Linked DNA regions of Diceros bicornis minor. The main gene of each other region encodes a partner of the protein of the gene in region 2 in a complex. Links are inferred from orthologs where the notes say so. Each region holds a gene or a part of one and is shown on either strand. Other genes may lie near its edges.

The links. Proteins that work in one complex are often made in the same cells at the same time.
Region 1: MYBBP1A (region 2) and DEK share a complex: the UniProt entries of both Homo sapiens proteins name them as parts of the B-WICH complex. The link is inferred for Diceros bicornis minor from reciprocal best matches to the Homo sapiens genes MYBBP1A and DEK.

What each region holds. Positions count from the first base shown.
Region 1 is NC_080753.1:49,225,097-49,232,959, reverse strand, and holds the start of DEK (protein DEK), read right to left. Parts: upstream 3,067-7,863; 5' UTR 2,957-3,066; intron 2,588-2,956; 5' UTR 2,579-2,587; coding exon 2,434-2,578; intron 1-2,433. UniProt on the Homo sapiens protein: Involved in chromatin organization.
Region 2 is NC_080757.1:13,301,483-13,308,880, forward strand, and holds the start of MYBBP1A (myb-binding protein 1A), read left to right. Parts: upstream 1-4,257; 5' UTR 4,258-4,281; coding exon 4,282-4,488; intron 4,489-4,682; coding exon 4,683-4,778; intron 4,779-5,506; coding exon 5,507-5,590; intron 5,591-5,688; coding exon 5,689-5,763; intron 5,764-5,855; coding exon 5,856-5,963; intron 5,964-6,936; coding exon 6,937-7,112; intron 7,113-7,265; coding exon 7,266-7,398. UniProt on the Homo sapiens protein: May activate or repress transcription via interactions with sequence specific DNA-binding proteins. Repression may be mediated at least in part by histone deacetylase activity (HDAC activity).

The sequences.
Region 1 (7,863 bases), on a different chromosome or scaffold from region 2:
AACAATGGTAATAAATCATTCTAAAAAAGTTAAATTCTGTTTAGTCTAGACTGCTTAAAAAAAAAAAGCTGGAAAATATACAACATATACTTTAAAACTTAAAACATTAACCTTGATGTATCTAAAACCATTTACCTACTGACTGAGATAAAGTCAGATAAATAAGAGAACACTATACTGTTGGAGGTCCTTCCGTTCATTTGACTGAAGGTTTTGTGCAAAGCTGCACTAGACACTAAGGGGGGATGAACAGATGATTAAGACACTGAATGTATCTTGGAATAGATCATGTCTACTGGGAGTGATGAGACACAAATATTATAATCCAAAGTAGATGATAAAACACCTTAAGAAAGACACACAAGTTCTGTGAGTTGATGACAGAGTAATTAGTTTTGTATTAGAGAAAAAGGATCAAAACACTGGAGCTGGCTTTGAAAGATAGGTAAGATTTGCAGATGTAAGGACTTGCACAGAAAGAGTTAGCAAGGAGAAAGGGATTCTAGAAGGCATATTCTGGCAATCGTGTATGGAATGGAGACAAAGCACTTGGAAGCAACACCTGTTATCACTCAGCTTCCTTTCCCTAAGGGATTTAAACCATTTGCTTGCCTTTGATTACCATCCATAAGCCAAGGACTTTCCTGGTCTATCTTCAGTCCAGAGCCTTCTCCTGAGCGGCAGATCAACTAACAAGGCTGCCAACTGGACAGCTCCATTTCATGTCCTACAGGCACCCAACTCAATGCATCCAAAACATAAGTCACAATCATCTCCAAACTCCCTCACCTGCATGAATTCTATTTTTCAGAAAATACTAATGTTATCCACCCAGCTGTCAAAGGCAGAAACCTAGGAGTCATCTTTTACCAGGCATCTCCCCTCCACACCCCTGCCAAAACCACTGCCAAGTTAAGTCAATTCCATGCCTTATTTGGCACGGACTTCATTGCCTGGTTTCTATGACGTCTCAGTAGCAGAGTTAAAATTTCAGGGCTAAGCAGGATAAAAACATTCATGATTTTAGTCGTTCCACAAACACCTCAAATGAAGGAAATATAATAATATATTAGAACAATCAGAGAACTGCTCGGGGATTTTTAAAAATTTTTCACGTTAAAAAAAAATCACAATCTGAACCACCATCAGTCCCCCAACCATTACTGTATTGGCCATTTATAGTATTTTTACATGACTCCTATAATTTTTTCCTAACATGAAGAAATTCATCATCTCTGTGGTATCCAAACCGTGTCTTAAAAAAGACGAAAAAACAAACAAAAAATTGGAGAAAAAAGTGCTGAAAAAGTCCTGGACTAGTAGCGAGATACTGCAGTCAATTTTTAGTTACTGCGTTATGAACAATTTTAAAATAATTTATATTTTTTTCTAGGTGTTTTTGCACTTAAACGTGGGCAGGCTCCCTTCTTAGAGCGCCTACCACTTTCAACAAACAAAAGGCATACCACATATTCTCAACCCAGATTGTATTTATAAAATGCTGACCAGGGGCTGGTTTAGGTCTAAAATAAATTGACAGTTATACCTGGGCTTGGGAAGAAAACTTCAGGCCTCTTCCCAAGTTTGGCTGAGTTGTAGCCATACATAAAATAAACCTAGAGTAGACTAATACCATCAAAGAATGCTAAAATCTGTGATATGGAGTCCTATGAGGTTGGAAACATCTTAGGAAGTTGGTATATCTCAAAGAGGCACTGCCCTGTGCATCTTGAATAAACCAAGGCAGTAGCACTCCTTAATCCCCCTTAATTCCGTAAGGTTTTGTTTCACGCCTCCAGTCAAACGATGGCTAACACTGCTCTCAACTACAAAACCGAGACTTCTCTGAGCTCCTATTTAACTTTCTTTCAGAGTTCATCGCTTTCCTATTTACCTACTTTCACAAGTAGCAACAGCTTTCACCGGTGTTTCCCCGTGAAAGTAACTCCCCGAAGCCTCTGAAAAAAACCTCTGCTGAGGTCCACCCAATATCTTAAAACTATTAAAATATTTCCAGGACTACCATTAATAACTCCTTTCAGTTTCAACGTGTGGTTTCATTACAGATCTTACAACACTTCAAAAAGCAAAAGAGGTGTACTTAAGTTAGCAAAACATTACCTTAGTAACTTCAAAGCCTAAGAGTCTTAAAAAGCAGATCTGAAACTTACGAACTTTCTGTCAAATAAGATGCTCTGACCATACGCTGCCGGCGAGACGGCAACTGCATTCCCAAACACGTAACAACACTAACGAGTATTTAAAAATTAGAATTCACAAAGTTAATTCTCTGCTATTGCTCAACACAAAACCCTATAAATTTCGCAAACTTTCTTGCTGAAAACCACTCCGATTTAGCGTCTCTAAGCGCAAAGAGAGCAAGAAAACTGTCTTCCGTCAAATGCATCACTAGGGACACGGCTTCCTCCCCACCTTTTTCTTCCTCCTCTTCCTCCTCTTCCTCCTCGTCCTCGTCGTCCTCCTCACTTTCCTCTCTCGGGCCGGGCATCTCGGGTTCTTTCTCAGACGCGGGCTGCGCGGCGGTCCCCTCTCCCTCCGCAGCAGCGCCGGACGACATGCTGCCGACCTGCGGGCGGGGAGGAAGCCAGACGCCTCGGTCCCCTCGCCTCCGGCGGGAGGGGCGGGGCGGCCACCGCGACTCAGCCGAGCCTTCCCGGCCCCAGGAAGCCGGGGGCCGCGGGAACCCCGGCCTTGAAGTTGCCGCCTCCCGCAGCCGGGACAGCGGCGCTCCGTCCCCAGGGCCGGCTTCCCTCCCGCTCCGCCCGCCGTCCGGGCATTCCCGCCGCGGGAAAGCGCGGGCGCCGCGCCGCCCCTCCCACCGCCCCGCCGAGCCGCGTCCCCTCCCCCGCCCCAGGCCGCCGTCCAAATGGCCGCGGCGGTGCCGGCGGGCCCCGCGGGGCCCTCTCGGCCTCCCCTCCCCCGCCGCGGCCCTCACCGCGGGTCCCGGCCGCCGCGGGCCTGGCGCGCGAGGGCACAAGGAGGCTCCGAGAGGCGGCGGCGGGCGCCGAGGAAAAGGCGCGCGGGCCGCTCTCTGGCCTGACGCTCGCGCCGCGCTCTCTGCTCCCCAGAATCAACAAGATTTTCAAAATGGCGGTTCGGGAAGGAAAGCGGGAATGCGGCGGCCAATCAGGGCCGCGAGCTGGGAGTTGGCGCGCGCGGGGTGGGGGAGGCGGGGCGGGCCGGGCGCTTCCTCGGGATGCCCGGGCGGGCGGGGCCGCGAGGGGTCGCCGGGGCCGCGCGCTCGGGGCCCGCTCCGGGCTGCGTCGGGCGTCCGGCGTCCGGCCGGCGCTCGGCCGGGAAGAGCGAGCAGGCGGCGTCCCGGGCGGAGGGCCGGCCTGGCGGCGCTGAACGGAAGAACGCTAGGGGGCCTGCGTGTGTATTGTCTCCACGGTTCGTTCCCGGAAAAGAGGAGCAGTCACGGGCCGGGGAGGGGGCGGGCGGGCGGCGGGAAGAAGTTTCCAAAGCTCGAAGTCGCTGTCTGCAGTATTTCACCGAGGTGGGGGGATTACTAAATGAGCGATCTCGTTTAGGTCCCAGAGACCGTGCTGGTGGTGACTCCGAATCTGCTGCATTTCTGAGGACCCCAGCGCTTGTAAGGTGCACGGTGAAGAAAAAGACCCTAACACGTTGAAGGTTCACGTCACCAGAGACAGAGATAGATTTCCTGACCTGTAGGGGGAAAGTGTGTGTGTGTGTGTGTGTGTGTGTGTGTATTAGAACGGTATTGTCCAGTCCAGACCTCTCTCGCAGAGTCCTAGGCCGGCTCCACGGTGTTTTAAACTCAACATTTCAAAAACTGAACGCGATGCTTTTCCCCCTTCAAATGCTCCCCCTTTCTGTGTGTGATTCCCTGCATTTTCTCCCAACTCCTCAACCACTAGCGGCCCAAAGGATGCTTTTATTCAGTGGACTTAATGGAAATGTGATCCGTTAAGTTTGCCTGAATAGACTCCAGATTGCAGGGCAAAAATTAGACATTTTCTTTGAATCTTGTTTTTTTCCATTTGTGCTCTTTCCAAAACAAGCAAATCCTATTATTTCTACCCTCAAATTTTGTACCCTTTCTCACTCTGCTGATGGCGCTCAAGTCCTGCTCACTCTCTTTTTTTGCTTGTATTTCAACACAGCCTCTCACTGGTTGGCTGGTTTCCACATTGCCGCCCATACCCGCCAATAGTCACACAGCAGCCAAGGTGATTTTTTTAAAAAAATTATCAGATTGGATACTCTCTTGCTTAAAACTTTGTGGTGGCTTCACATCATACTTGGAATAAAATTCAAAATACTTATGATTTACAAGGTGCTATGTAATATAGTTGCTGGCAATCTCTGATCTCATCTGTCTGACACCATTGGCTGTTTCAGCCACGCAGGCCTTTGATGTTCCCCCATAAAGCCAAGCTCATTCCTACCTTTGGGCTTTCCACTTAACTTTTTTCTGCCCTTCCCACAGAATTCGTCAAATGTCTTGCACCTTCACATCATTGCTTCTGTGCTCAAGTGCTTCTCCCCCAAGGCCATCACTATTCCTTTTCCATTCTTTCACTCAAAAATATTAATTGAGCACCTACTCTGCCTGGCACTAGGAGCTAGAGAGCGGGACTAAGCCCTGCCATCTTTATGCTTACATTCTAGTTGAGGCAATGAACAAATAAACAAGTGAATATATTGTATGACAAATAGTGATAAAGTAAAGCAGGTTAAAGGAGACAGGAAATACCAGTAGAGTGGATGGGATTTTATTTTACATATTTGTGATAATTAAGGGAGATCTTGTTAATAAGATGACATTTGATAAGAGATCTTAAGTAAATAAGAGCAGTGGAGACAGACTGGATATATTCTAAAGAGTTCTCTAAAGTATTGGATGTAGGGTGTAAGAGACAGAAGTCAATGTTGACTCTGAGTTTTTGGTTCAGTAATCAGAACAGAGTAGCTATTTACTGAGATGAGGAAGTTCTCTGGGGTTAGTGGGGGGCAGGGCTTTTTTGGGTGGGAGCAGGGAAGGGATGTTGGGGAAGGGGATCAGTTGTTTTGTTTTGGATGTGTTAGGTTTAAGCTTCCTGTTAGCATCTAAATGGAGATTCAGAATAGGCAGTTGGATGTGAGAGTCTGGCATTCAGGGGAAGAAGCTTTAGCTCAAGATATAAATTTAGCCGTTGTCAACATGTATATGGTATTTAAAGCCCTGAGACTGGATGAGATCACTAACAGAGTGAATATCGGTAGAGATGAGGAGAGGGTCAAGATTGTACCCTGGAGCTCTCTAGTGTTTAGAGGTTCAGGAGAGGAAGTGGAACTCGCAAAGGAGATGAGAAGGAGCAGCTGTTGCCAGTGAAGTGGGAGGAGAATCAAGCGAAAGTTGTATCTCAGAAGCCAGATGATTCAGAAGTGTCTAAGAGGGAGACGATGATCAACTGGGTCAGAAGCTGCTAAAAGGTCAAGTGAGATGAGAACTGAGAATTGACCACTGGATATAACAATGATGTTATCAGCGACAGTGACAAGAGCTGTTTCTGTGGAATGGTGAGTATGAAGGTGCCAGGAGTGGGGATGTAGAGAGACAGGTAGGCAAGGAATGGATTCAGACACTCTTTCTAGGAATTGTGCTGTTCAGGGGAGCAGAGAAATGGACTAGTAGCGTAAAGGGAGTTTGTCTTTTAAGAAGGGAGCTATTACTGTATGTTTATATGATGATGGAATGAATCAGTAGAGTGGGGAAAATTGATGATGGAAGAGAGGGAAAGGACAGTAGCTGGAGCTGACCTAAAGTAGGTATGTCAAGTTGGTTCTCTGTAAGCACATCCTGAAGCAGAATATGGGGTACCAGATGTTTCTTAGGGATCAATACCTCTTAAAGGAAGGGAGAGGAAGCCAGATTGGCCAGAGGAAGAGGTCACACTGTGAAGCTGATGTGACAAAGCCTCAGCCCACCCTGAGGGGAGCTCTGGAGTGAGTACTGCTCTCCAGAGTGTCCTGCCTGGCTGGGCTTTTATTAGCCCCGCCTTGCTCAGTCACTGCCCGCAAGCTGTGCCAGGAAGGGCATGACCTCTGGTGAAGTGACTCCAGAGCTGTGGCAGATCCTGAGGGAGCTGACAGATGGGGGCTGTCTGCTGACTGCGGGCTCTGCAGCTGGGCATCTGGGTGGCACATCTCCATGTCTACCACAGGACATAAGAGGAGATGGAGTCTAGTCTTCAAGTGAAGGAATTGTCCTTCGATAGGACAGTGGGCAGTTTCTACACAGTAACAGGCGGGAAGACAGGGGATATGGGTACAGACGCTGGATGGAGGTTGGCAAATGTAGTTGGAGTTTAAGTTCTTATTGCTTTAAGTTTCTCAGTGAAATTAGGAGCAAAATCATTGACAGAGAGTATGGGAGCGGACTGTTGGAGGTTTCAGGAGAGAGGAAATGTGAGCTAGTCATGTAGGAGAGTGGGGGAGAAATGGATTGGGGAATGTAGGAGGGTTGCCAGGAAGCTGCAGGGAGGACCCAGTGAGATTAGTCATGAGGTCAAAAGGAGACCAGTCAGCATGATTGGTTTTCTGTAGCCATATTCAGCTACCTGGGAAGAGGTGTGAAGATGGCAAAGATTTGGATTTAACCAGGTTGGGATTTTGTCAGGCAAGGATGAAGGAAGGAGAGGAGGGTGAGTTGAGGATATGGGCAGGACGATGAATATAATGGTAGAGCATAGAATCTGAGTTGAGTAAGGAAGGTAAGGACATGAGAGGGGTGAGGCAGTGAAAATGGGGCAGGATCAAGAAGCAAGGTCTTGATTTCTCTTTGTTGTATTTATCACTACCTGAAAAATTTATTTGTATATTGTCTGTCTTCTCCACTAAAACGTAAGCTCCTTGTAGCTGGGAGGATTTGGTCTTGTTCATCATGGTATTTTTAGCACCTAAAGGAGTGCCTAACACATAGTAGGTGGTCAATAAGTGTTTGCCGAATGAATGGAAACCAAAATAAACTTTTGTTATGAAGATTCAGAACCTTTTTTGTTTGATATGATGAGATGGTGTATTAGGAAAGGACAGGTTATTTCAGCAAAAGTTTATTTAACAGCAGTTCAACAGTTTGGTTTAACAGCAAGTTTATTTCTCGCTCTATAAAGCTCTCTGTCAGCTCAGACAACTCCCCAGGGCCTCCGTTCATGTGGTTTACTCATTGTCTCAGCTACTTTGATCTTCTGGATCCCCCATCTCCACACAAGTCCTTGGCGTTCACGGTGGTAGGGGAAGAGAGCTGGATGAGAACTCATACCTGCTCTTCTATGATTCTGCTCATTGGCCAGTGGCCAGATCAGTCATATGACCCCTCCTAACTGCAAAGGATCTAGAAAATGTGAGGGCACATATGGAATAGTTGGTGAGCATTGCTATCTCTGCCCAGAAGAGGCTGATAATTGCAACCAGATAAAGTACAATTAGGATGAACAAGGGATGTGTTTGAAAATATCTGTTGGTTTTATTTTGGAAATACTAAAATGCTGATTCTTAATTTTTTTTTTTCATTTTTGCCTTGAGAAGTTTTTACATACACTGCACACATATATCTTTCTTTCTTATACACATATCTAGCTCTTACACACACATCTCTATCTTTCCCAGACTGTAAGCTTCATGGGCAGAGACTATGTCCATGCTGTTTATTATTATCTCCCAGAACTTGGCACAGTGCCTGACACATAGTAAATACTTTAAAAATATTTGTTTAATTGAAATGCATCCCCTTTTGGTTCTTGGACAGTGGCAAGAGTATGTTGTCTGGGTGCTATTTAAAGACATTCCAGCAATATCAACTCAGTAAATTAACATGGCTTGAATAAGCTGATGACT
Region 2 (7,398 bases):
TGCTCCCCAGATGGAGAAATCCAGATCCCTGAAGTGACCTCAGATTGAGCCTTGACCTCAGCCAGAGACCAGATGCTCCCACACCAGAACTAGTCACATGCTGAGCCCTGATCCAAGCCACAATGTGACTGTAGTTTTAATCCAAGCTCCACTGTCCCAGATTAGAGTCCCGAACAGGCCAAGGGATCCAGGGCTACATCCCCTAAAGGGAGGGGACCAGTGGGCACCAGGTCTCAGGCCTGTGGCCATGGCCCTAGGACTGGGCTCCTCCTACCTCACTGAGCTTCGGCTCCCGACAGGGTCCCTGCAGTAAGCGGCCCTGTGCCCTAATGGGGCAGGCTCACTCGCAGCCTCCCTGGCCCCGTGCCCTGCCCAGACCTGTTCTAGATTCCACACCACCCTTCCCCCAGGCAGCCTCCACCTCCCACCCACCCGGCTCCGGCCGGGCCTCCGGAGACTCAGCTGAGAAGGCTGACAGGCAGGAGGGCTGGGGCGGCACCGCGGGGCCATGGAACCCACTGCAGGGCCTGTGCACTACCAGAAGCTGCTGCTCTGGGAGCCGCGCTCGGAGTCTGAGGAGGAAGAGGAGGAAGAGGAGGAGACAGCAGAGCCACTCGTTCCCAACCCCTGGCGGCCCCAGGACTCCTCTGGGTGAGTCAGGCAGGGGTCTGGGCACCCGGCAACTCAGGCCTGAGCCCATAAGGGGGGCCAGACAACTTCGTGCTTGGCTCAGCTCCAGGAACTTTCTAGTTGAATGCGGGGAACCTAGGCTGCAGCCCCCGACCTGGCCAGCACCAGTCAATCCAAGGTCTGTGCTTCTGAAGGGACATTTGTACCAAGCCAGCCCTGCCAGCTGCTCTGTCAAAGTTCCCAGCCTCCACCCCCTGGTGCAAAAGGCACCTGCTGGGCAGGCTACACCTGGCTAGGCCCTGCTCCTCAGGCCTCCCTCCTGATTGGCTCAACCCTGCCTCTCCAACCTCCTCTCCAGAGATTCCTTCCCAGCTGTCCCCAGTTTCCCTATGATCTTTCCCATCCCCAGGTCTCCATCCACGATGTGCCCTCTGCCAGGAAGCCCTTCTCCTCAGTGAACTTGTATTCCTCTTGCAAGCAAGACCAAACCTTCTGGGAAATATTCTCTGGGTTCTCTGGGGCTCTTGGGTGTCCCCTGCCCCAGCCCCGGTTCAGGACACCCCCCTCTGCAGGAATAATGTTGGTGGTCTGCCCGGAGCCTGGGCCCGACTGGTTGCCGCCCTGCTGCTGCTGGCTGTTGGCTTCTCCCTGGCTGTGTGGCAACTCCACACCAGGGGTGGCTCTTCAGAACCCCTGGGCTCTGTGGCCCCTCTGCCCAGCGGGCACTCCCACCGCCCCGGCGTATACCACCATGGAGCCATCATCAGCCCTGCAGGTCAGTGCTGGGGGCAGCTCAGGGGAGTGGAGGAGCCGGGGTGACTGGTCCCAGGCCCCTCCCCATGACAGGCCCTTCTTTGCTACAGCCACGTGCTCCCACCTGGGCCGAGAGCTGCTTGTTGCTGGGGGCAATGTCGTGGACGCTGGAGTTGGAGCAGCTTTGTGTCTGGCAGTGGTGCATCCTCATGCCACAGGGCTAGGTCAGTGACCCACGACCCCAGACAGAGACCCCAACCCCAGGCCTGATGGGTGACCTGGAACTCAGACAGTCAGCGGCCCTCACCTCAGGGCTGGTTAGTGAGTAGGACCTAGGACTTGGGCAGTAGCCCCGACCTTGGCTGTGACCCTTGATCCCAAGTTTGTGTGATCTTGACCCCAGGCCTGGTTATTGACCCATCTTCAGGCCTAGTCAGGAACTCCTGACCCCAGGCTAAGTCAGTGACCCTGATCCCAGTCAGTGCCGCTTACCCCGGTGTGACCCCTTTCTCTCCCCTCAGGTGCCATGTTCTGGGGCCTCTTCCACAATAGCTCCTCAGGCAATTCAATTGCCCTGACGTCAGGTCCAGCCCAGATCCTGGCCCCCGGCCTGGGGCTGCCCTCGGCTCTGCCTACCCTGCGCTTGCTGCACACACGCTTCGGCCGCCTGCCCTGGCCACGCCTGCTGGTGGGCCCCTCCACGCTGGCTCAAGAGGGCTTCCTGGTAGACACAACCCTGGCCAGGGCTCTGGCAGCCCAGGGCACGAAGGGCCTCTGTCCACTCCTTTGCCACACTGACGGGACCCCCTTGGGCCCTGGGGCCCGAGCCACCAACCCAAAACTGGCGGCCGTGCTACACAAGGCAGCCCTCGCCCCCACCCCAGACCTTGCTGGGGAGGCCCTACTGAATCTGCTGGCCAGAGACCTGGGGATGGAGGGACCCTCAGCAGGGCCCAGGCCCACCCTGGAGCCAGCACTGCAGCTCCCTGTGCCCCAGGGCATCCTGTTCACCACCCCCAGCCCCTCAGCTGGCCCAGAGCTGCTGGCACTGCTGAAGGCAGCCCTACACTCCGGAGGGCCCAGCCCTGACCCCTGCCCACCACTCCTACAAGCTACTGTGACCCCCGGGAGCAGTGCCCTGGCTACCGTGGACAGCAGCGGCTCTGTGCTCCTTCTCACCTCCTCGCTCAACAGCTCCTTCGGCTCTGGACACCTGTCCCCAAGCACCGGGGTTCTACTCAGCAACCTTGTGGCCAAGTCTGCAACTAGTGCCTGGGCCTGCCCCCTCATCCTTCGTGGCAGCCTGGATGACACAGAGGCCGACGTGTTGGGGCTGGTGGCTTCAGGGACCCCCGCAGTGGCCAGAGTCACGACTCGCACCCTGCTCAGCCACCTGGCCGGGCCCCAAACCCAGGCCCAGCAAGGACAAACAGAGAGCCCCAGCATTTGTGGCCAAGGGACCCTGCTCCAGGTGGCAGCACATGCAGAGCATGCCCACGTCTCCAGTGTCCCCAATGGCTGCTGCCCCTTCCAGGGGTTCTAAGCGGGGAGAGTGTCTGACAGGGAATGGGGGGGTGGGGTCTCAAGCCTGGACGCAGGGGCAGAGCAGGCCCAGCAGCCATGGAGTGCATAAAAGTGTGCATCGATGATGTGTTCATTGCTGGCTCAAGCCCTCAACCTCTGGCCTGGTCAGTTACCTGGACTAGAGTTCTGGCTCTTTTTTCATCTAAGGAACCTGAAGATAATAAGGAAGGGGCAGCAGGGCCTGGGGCCAGCCCCGAGTTCAGATCCAGCTCTGGGAAGGACAGGGGGAAGAAAGCCAAGCCCCGGCTGGGTTCTGGGCCCCACGGACAGGGCAGGCAGAGCCTGGAGTACTGCTGGCATCTCCGTCCTCCCCTTCAGGCCACCCTCTGCTGATCTCCCTCAATGGGCTGGAAAGGAAATAAAGATCACGTCTCCTGGATGCCATGTGCCATTCCTGCTTCTTGTAAAATTTCCCTTCAGCCTTTGAGGTGCCTGGTGTCAGGGCTTCCCCCATGGGCAGCACAGCAGACCCACAGCCAGAGAGGCAGAGCCCGGGCTGGTGTCCTTCAGCTCCCCCCGCTCTGCGCACCTCCTGCCTCCTGGGGCACCATACATACAAGATAAACCTCTTACTCTCACTTTCTAAAACAGACAGCAGAGCAAGGGAGGGGTTGAGAGGGTGTCCCTGGGTACAAAACCGGCTGGAGCTGGGTGTGTGGAATTTACAGGCCGAGTTTAGCCCTGACCTCCCCCCTCTCCCAGAGAGTGGGGGCCTCTCTGGACCACAGCCCTCCAGAGACAGCTTCTCAAGTCAAGAAGCGGGGGTGCACTCCTCCCCCCACTGTAAAAGGCATCTCTCATTTAATGGAACTCTTGATCCCACCACCTCCACCTCCCCCCCACCAAAGAAAGTTCTTCCCCAGCTCAGTAAATGGTACCACGATCTGCGCGGTTATTTTAGCCCCAAACCTGCCATCCCTCTCTTTTCCTCTCCCCCCAACATCCATCACCCCCTACCGGCTCCAAGTTAGCTGGAACCTGGCCTGTTCCTGTGTTACCTTGGCCAATCCACCACTGTCTCTGTCCTTCCTGCTTCTGCCTTTGCACTCCTACAGTCCATCCCCCACACAGCGACAGAATAATCTTTTAAAAATGTAAATGGAATCAAGGCTTGCGCTTGCACAAAACCCTCCAATGACTTCCCATCACGCTCAGAATAAACCCCAAACTCCTGGTCTCCCGGAGTGAGAGCATAAGAACCGCGGCCGGCCCAGCCCCCTCCGGGCCCCGCCTCCCAGCCGACCCAATCCAGTGCGCATGCGCCGCGACCTGACCTGGAAGAGGCTGTCTTCGGAGCCCACGTGTTCGAGGAGCATGGCGGAGATGGAGAGTGAGGACGTCGCAGAGACTATGTCCCCGGGGGGAGCGACGAAGAGCGGCGCCCGGCCTGCCGACCGCCATGGTCTGCTGAAGCACAGCCGCGAGTTCTTGGACTTCTTCTGGGACATTGCGAAGCCGCAGCAGGAGACGCGGCTTGAGGCCACGGAGAAGCTGCTGGAGTATCTGCGCACAAGGCCAGAGGTATGGTGGCGGGGCCTGGGGCAGGGGACTGCGTAGATCCCGGCACAGTTGTGGCGGCGGGCCCCAGGGGTTGGGACGTGGGGCACGTGGTCGCGAACCTGGATGCCCAGCTGAGCGCGATCGGGGTGCGGGGGTGGGCGGGTGCGGGACGATTCTTCTCACTGGTCGACCGGAGGATGCCCTTGGTTCCGCAGGGATCCGAGATGAAGTACGCCCTGAAGCGCCTCATCACTGGCCTCGGGGTCGGGCGAGAAACCGCCCGGCCTTGCTACAGTCTGGCCCTGGCACAGGTGAGGTGGTGGCTCCGGGAAGGAGCCTAGCCGTGCTGGTCAAAACGGTGTGGGGTGAGGAGAGCAGATGTCTCAGCTGCAGAGGAAGAGGCACTGGTCTGAGGGAGAAGTTGGGGGTGGCATCTGAGCTGATGGGAGGCGTCCCCACGTGGAGGTAGAGAACGTGTGTGAGCAGGCCTGTCAGCAGAGAAGCCCAGGCAGATGGAGTGGGAGCTGGAGCAGGTTCTTTCTTGTACACGATTGATCGGCCTCTTAGATACATTTACTGGGAGTGGTAAGCTTTGTGGGGGGTGGGGGGTTCCCTTATCTCTGCAAGGTTCAGGGCCCTCTCCCCCCACAAGGAGCACGAGGCTGAGGAACGTGGACAACTGGAAGGGCGATAAAGATCCAGTGCTTTAGGATCAGCCTGGGAGGACCTCAGAGCAGGCTGTGGGGACAGTGTCTGGGAATCTCAGTGGAGGGATCTAGGGACCAAAGGAGGTACTTTCTGAGCCCAGGGGGGCATGGGGCAAGGAGGCAAGATTCAGCTGCATTCAAGCAGCAGAGTTCATCATCAGCGGTGCTCAGAGGGGAGTGAGCAGCTTCAGAGGCATCCTTGGAGTGGGAGCAGGGGCCCCAGGCCTCTGGGCAGAAGTTGAAGGGAGAAGTGGGAGGGGGTTGAGTCCACTGGAATGTGGCTGGACCACTCCTCTGAATCCCTCTCTCCCTCCTGCCACAACTCCTGGCAGCTGTTGCAGTCTTTCGAAGACATACCCTTGTGCAGCATCCTGCAGCAGATACAAGAGAAGCATGACCTGCAGAAGGTTAAGAAGGTGAGAGTTAGTGGCCCCAGGGGGGTCAGCAGCCCTGCCCTGGCTGGAGTGGGGAATACTCAGGCCCTTCTCACCGGTGTGTGGAATCCTTTTTCTAGGCAATGATGAGACCTGCTCTCTTTGCAAACCTGTTTGGAGTGCTAGCTCTCTTTCAGTCAGGCAGGCTGGTGAAGGTAAGAGCTTTGGGAGTACAGCGGGTAGGGGGACAGGCTTGGGGGGCAGTGGCATGCCCTGCTCATACCCTCTCCCCCTCTGTGAGTACCAGGACTCGGAGGCACTGATGAAGTCGGTGAAGCTGCTCCAGACCCTGGCCCACTACTACAACCACTTGCAGGAGCAGCCCCAGAAGGCCCTGGTGGACATCCTCTCTGAGGTACGTACGGGCTGACCAGCTGTGGGACCTCGGGTAGCGCTACGTGTTATAGAAACATGGAGAAGGCTCAGTTCATGCTCTAGAGCAGCGCTAGCCCATAGAAACATAAAAGTATGTAACTTGACATTTTTAGTAACTACGTTAAAAGGTAAAAATAAACAAGTGTAGTTAGTAACAAATTTCAGTTAACCTAATATCTCTAAGGTATTATTTCAGTATGCAATCAGTATAAAAAAATTGTAGAGATGCGTTACGTTTTTTGTTGTATTAAGTCTCCAAAACCCACTGTGTATTTTATGCATACGGCACATTTCCATTCAGACTTGCACATTCCGAGTGCTCAGTAGGCACATGTGGCCAGTGGCTGCCATATTGGGCAGTGCAGTTCTAGAACAGTGCCTGGCATGTGGCAAGTATATTAAACACGTTTGCTGTTGTCTGGGGCAAAGCTGACCCCTCAGGGGCCCCCACTGCCCTACTTGAGAAATGGAGGTAGGCTGGTACCCAGAATCCTTTGCTACTGAGGAAAAGACGGGGACTGGCACATCCTGGGCCAGGGCTCTCTGCGCAGCCCGGGCTGCAGAAGCCAGAAGAACCTAGATTCAAATCCTAGCTCTCCATTTGGGGTTCCTTGTGTAAGAAATGGGCTAGTCCTGAAAACCCAAAAGAGGAATAATTAAAAGGGTAGCCCTGGGCCAGTTGGCATCAGCGGGGTGTTTGTTGAAAGCCTAGCTTCCTGGGATGGAAACCCAGCTTCCTGGGACTTGGGAATTTGAGCTTTTTAACAAATGCCCTCTGGTGATTCTGATGTCCAGCAAGGTGGATTGTGGCTGTGCCACCTCAGGCTGGCACTGTGCCAGGGGCCTCACAGGAGCCTGGCAGGTAGACCAGGGCCCATAGGGCTCACTCCACAGGGAAAGACAAAAGGTGCCGTGAGGAAGCCACCCTTCATCAATCCGTCTCCCCACCCCAGGTCCCAGAGGCCACGTTGCAGGAGGTCCTGCCGAAGGTCCTCAAGGCCGACTTGAATTCCGTACTTGGCTCCCCTGAGCACCTGCAGCTCTTCCTCCTGGCCCAGCAGAAGGTGCCCGCAGAGCTCGAGAAGCTGATGGGATCGGTCAACCTGTTCTCAGACGAGAATATCCCCAGGTGTGAGGGAGTTGGGCGGATGGGCTCTCCCTGGGGCCGCAGCTGGCCATCAGCAGGTTCGCAGTGTGGCCTGGGGGTGTCCCTGCTGCCCCAGGCGCCCTGGCCGTTCCTCTTTGGTGGCTGCCCCCTGAGTCCCCTCTGCCCCCTCCGCAGACTGGTGAGCGTCCTGAAGACAGCTGCTGCCTCTGTGAAGAGGGAGCGCAGGCTGCCCACCGTGGCTCTGGACCTGCTCCGCCTGGCGCTTCAGGAGGACAAGTTCCCGCGGTTCTGGAAGGAAGTTGTGGAG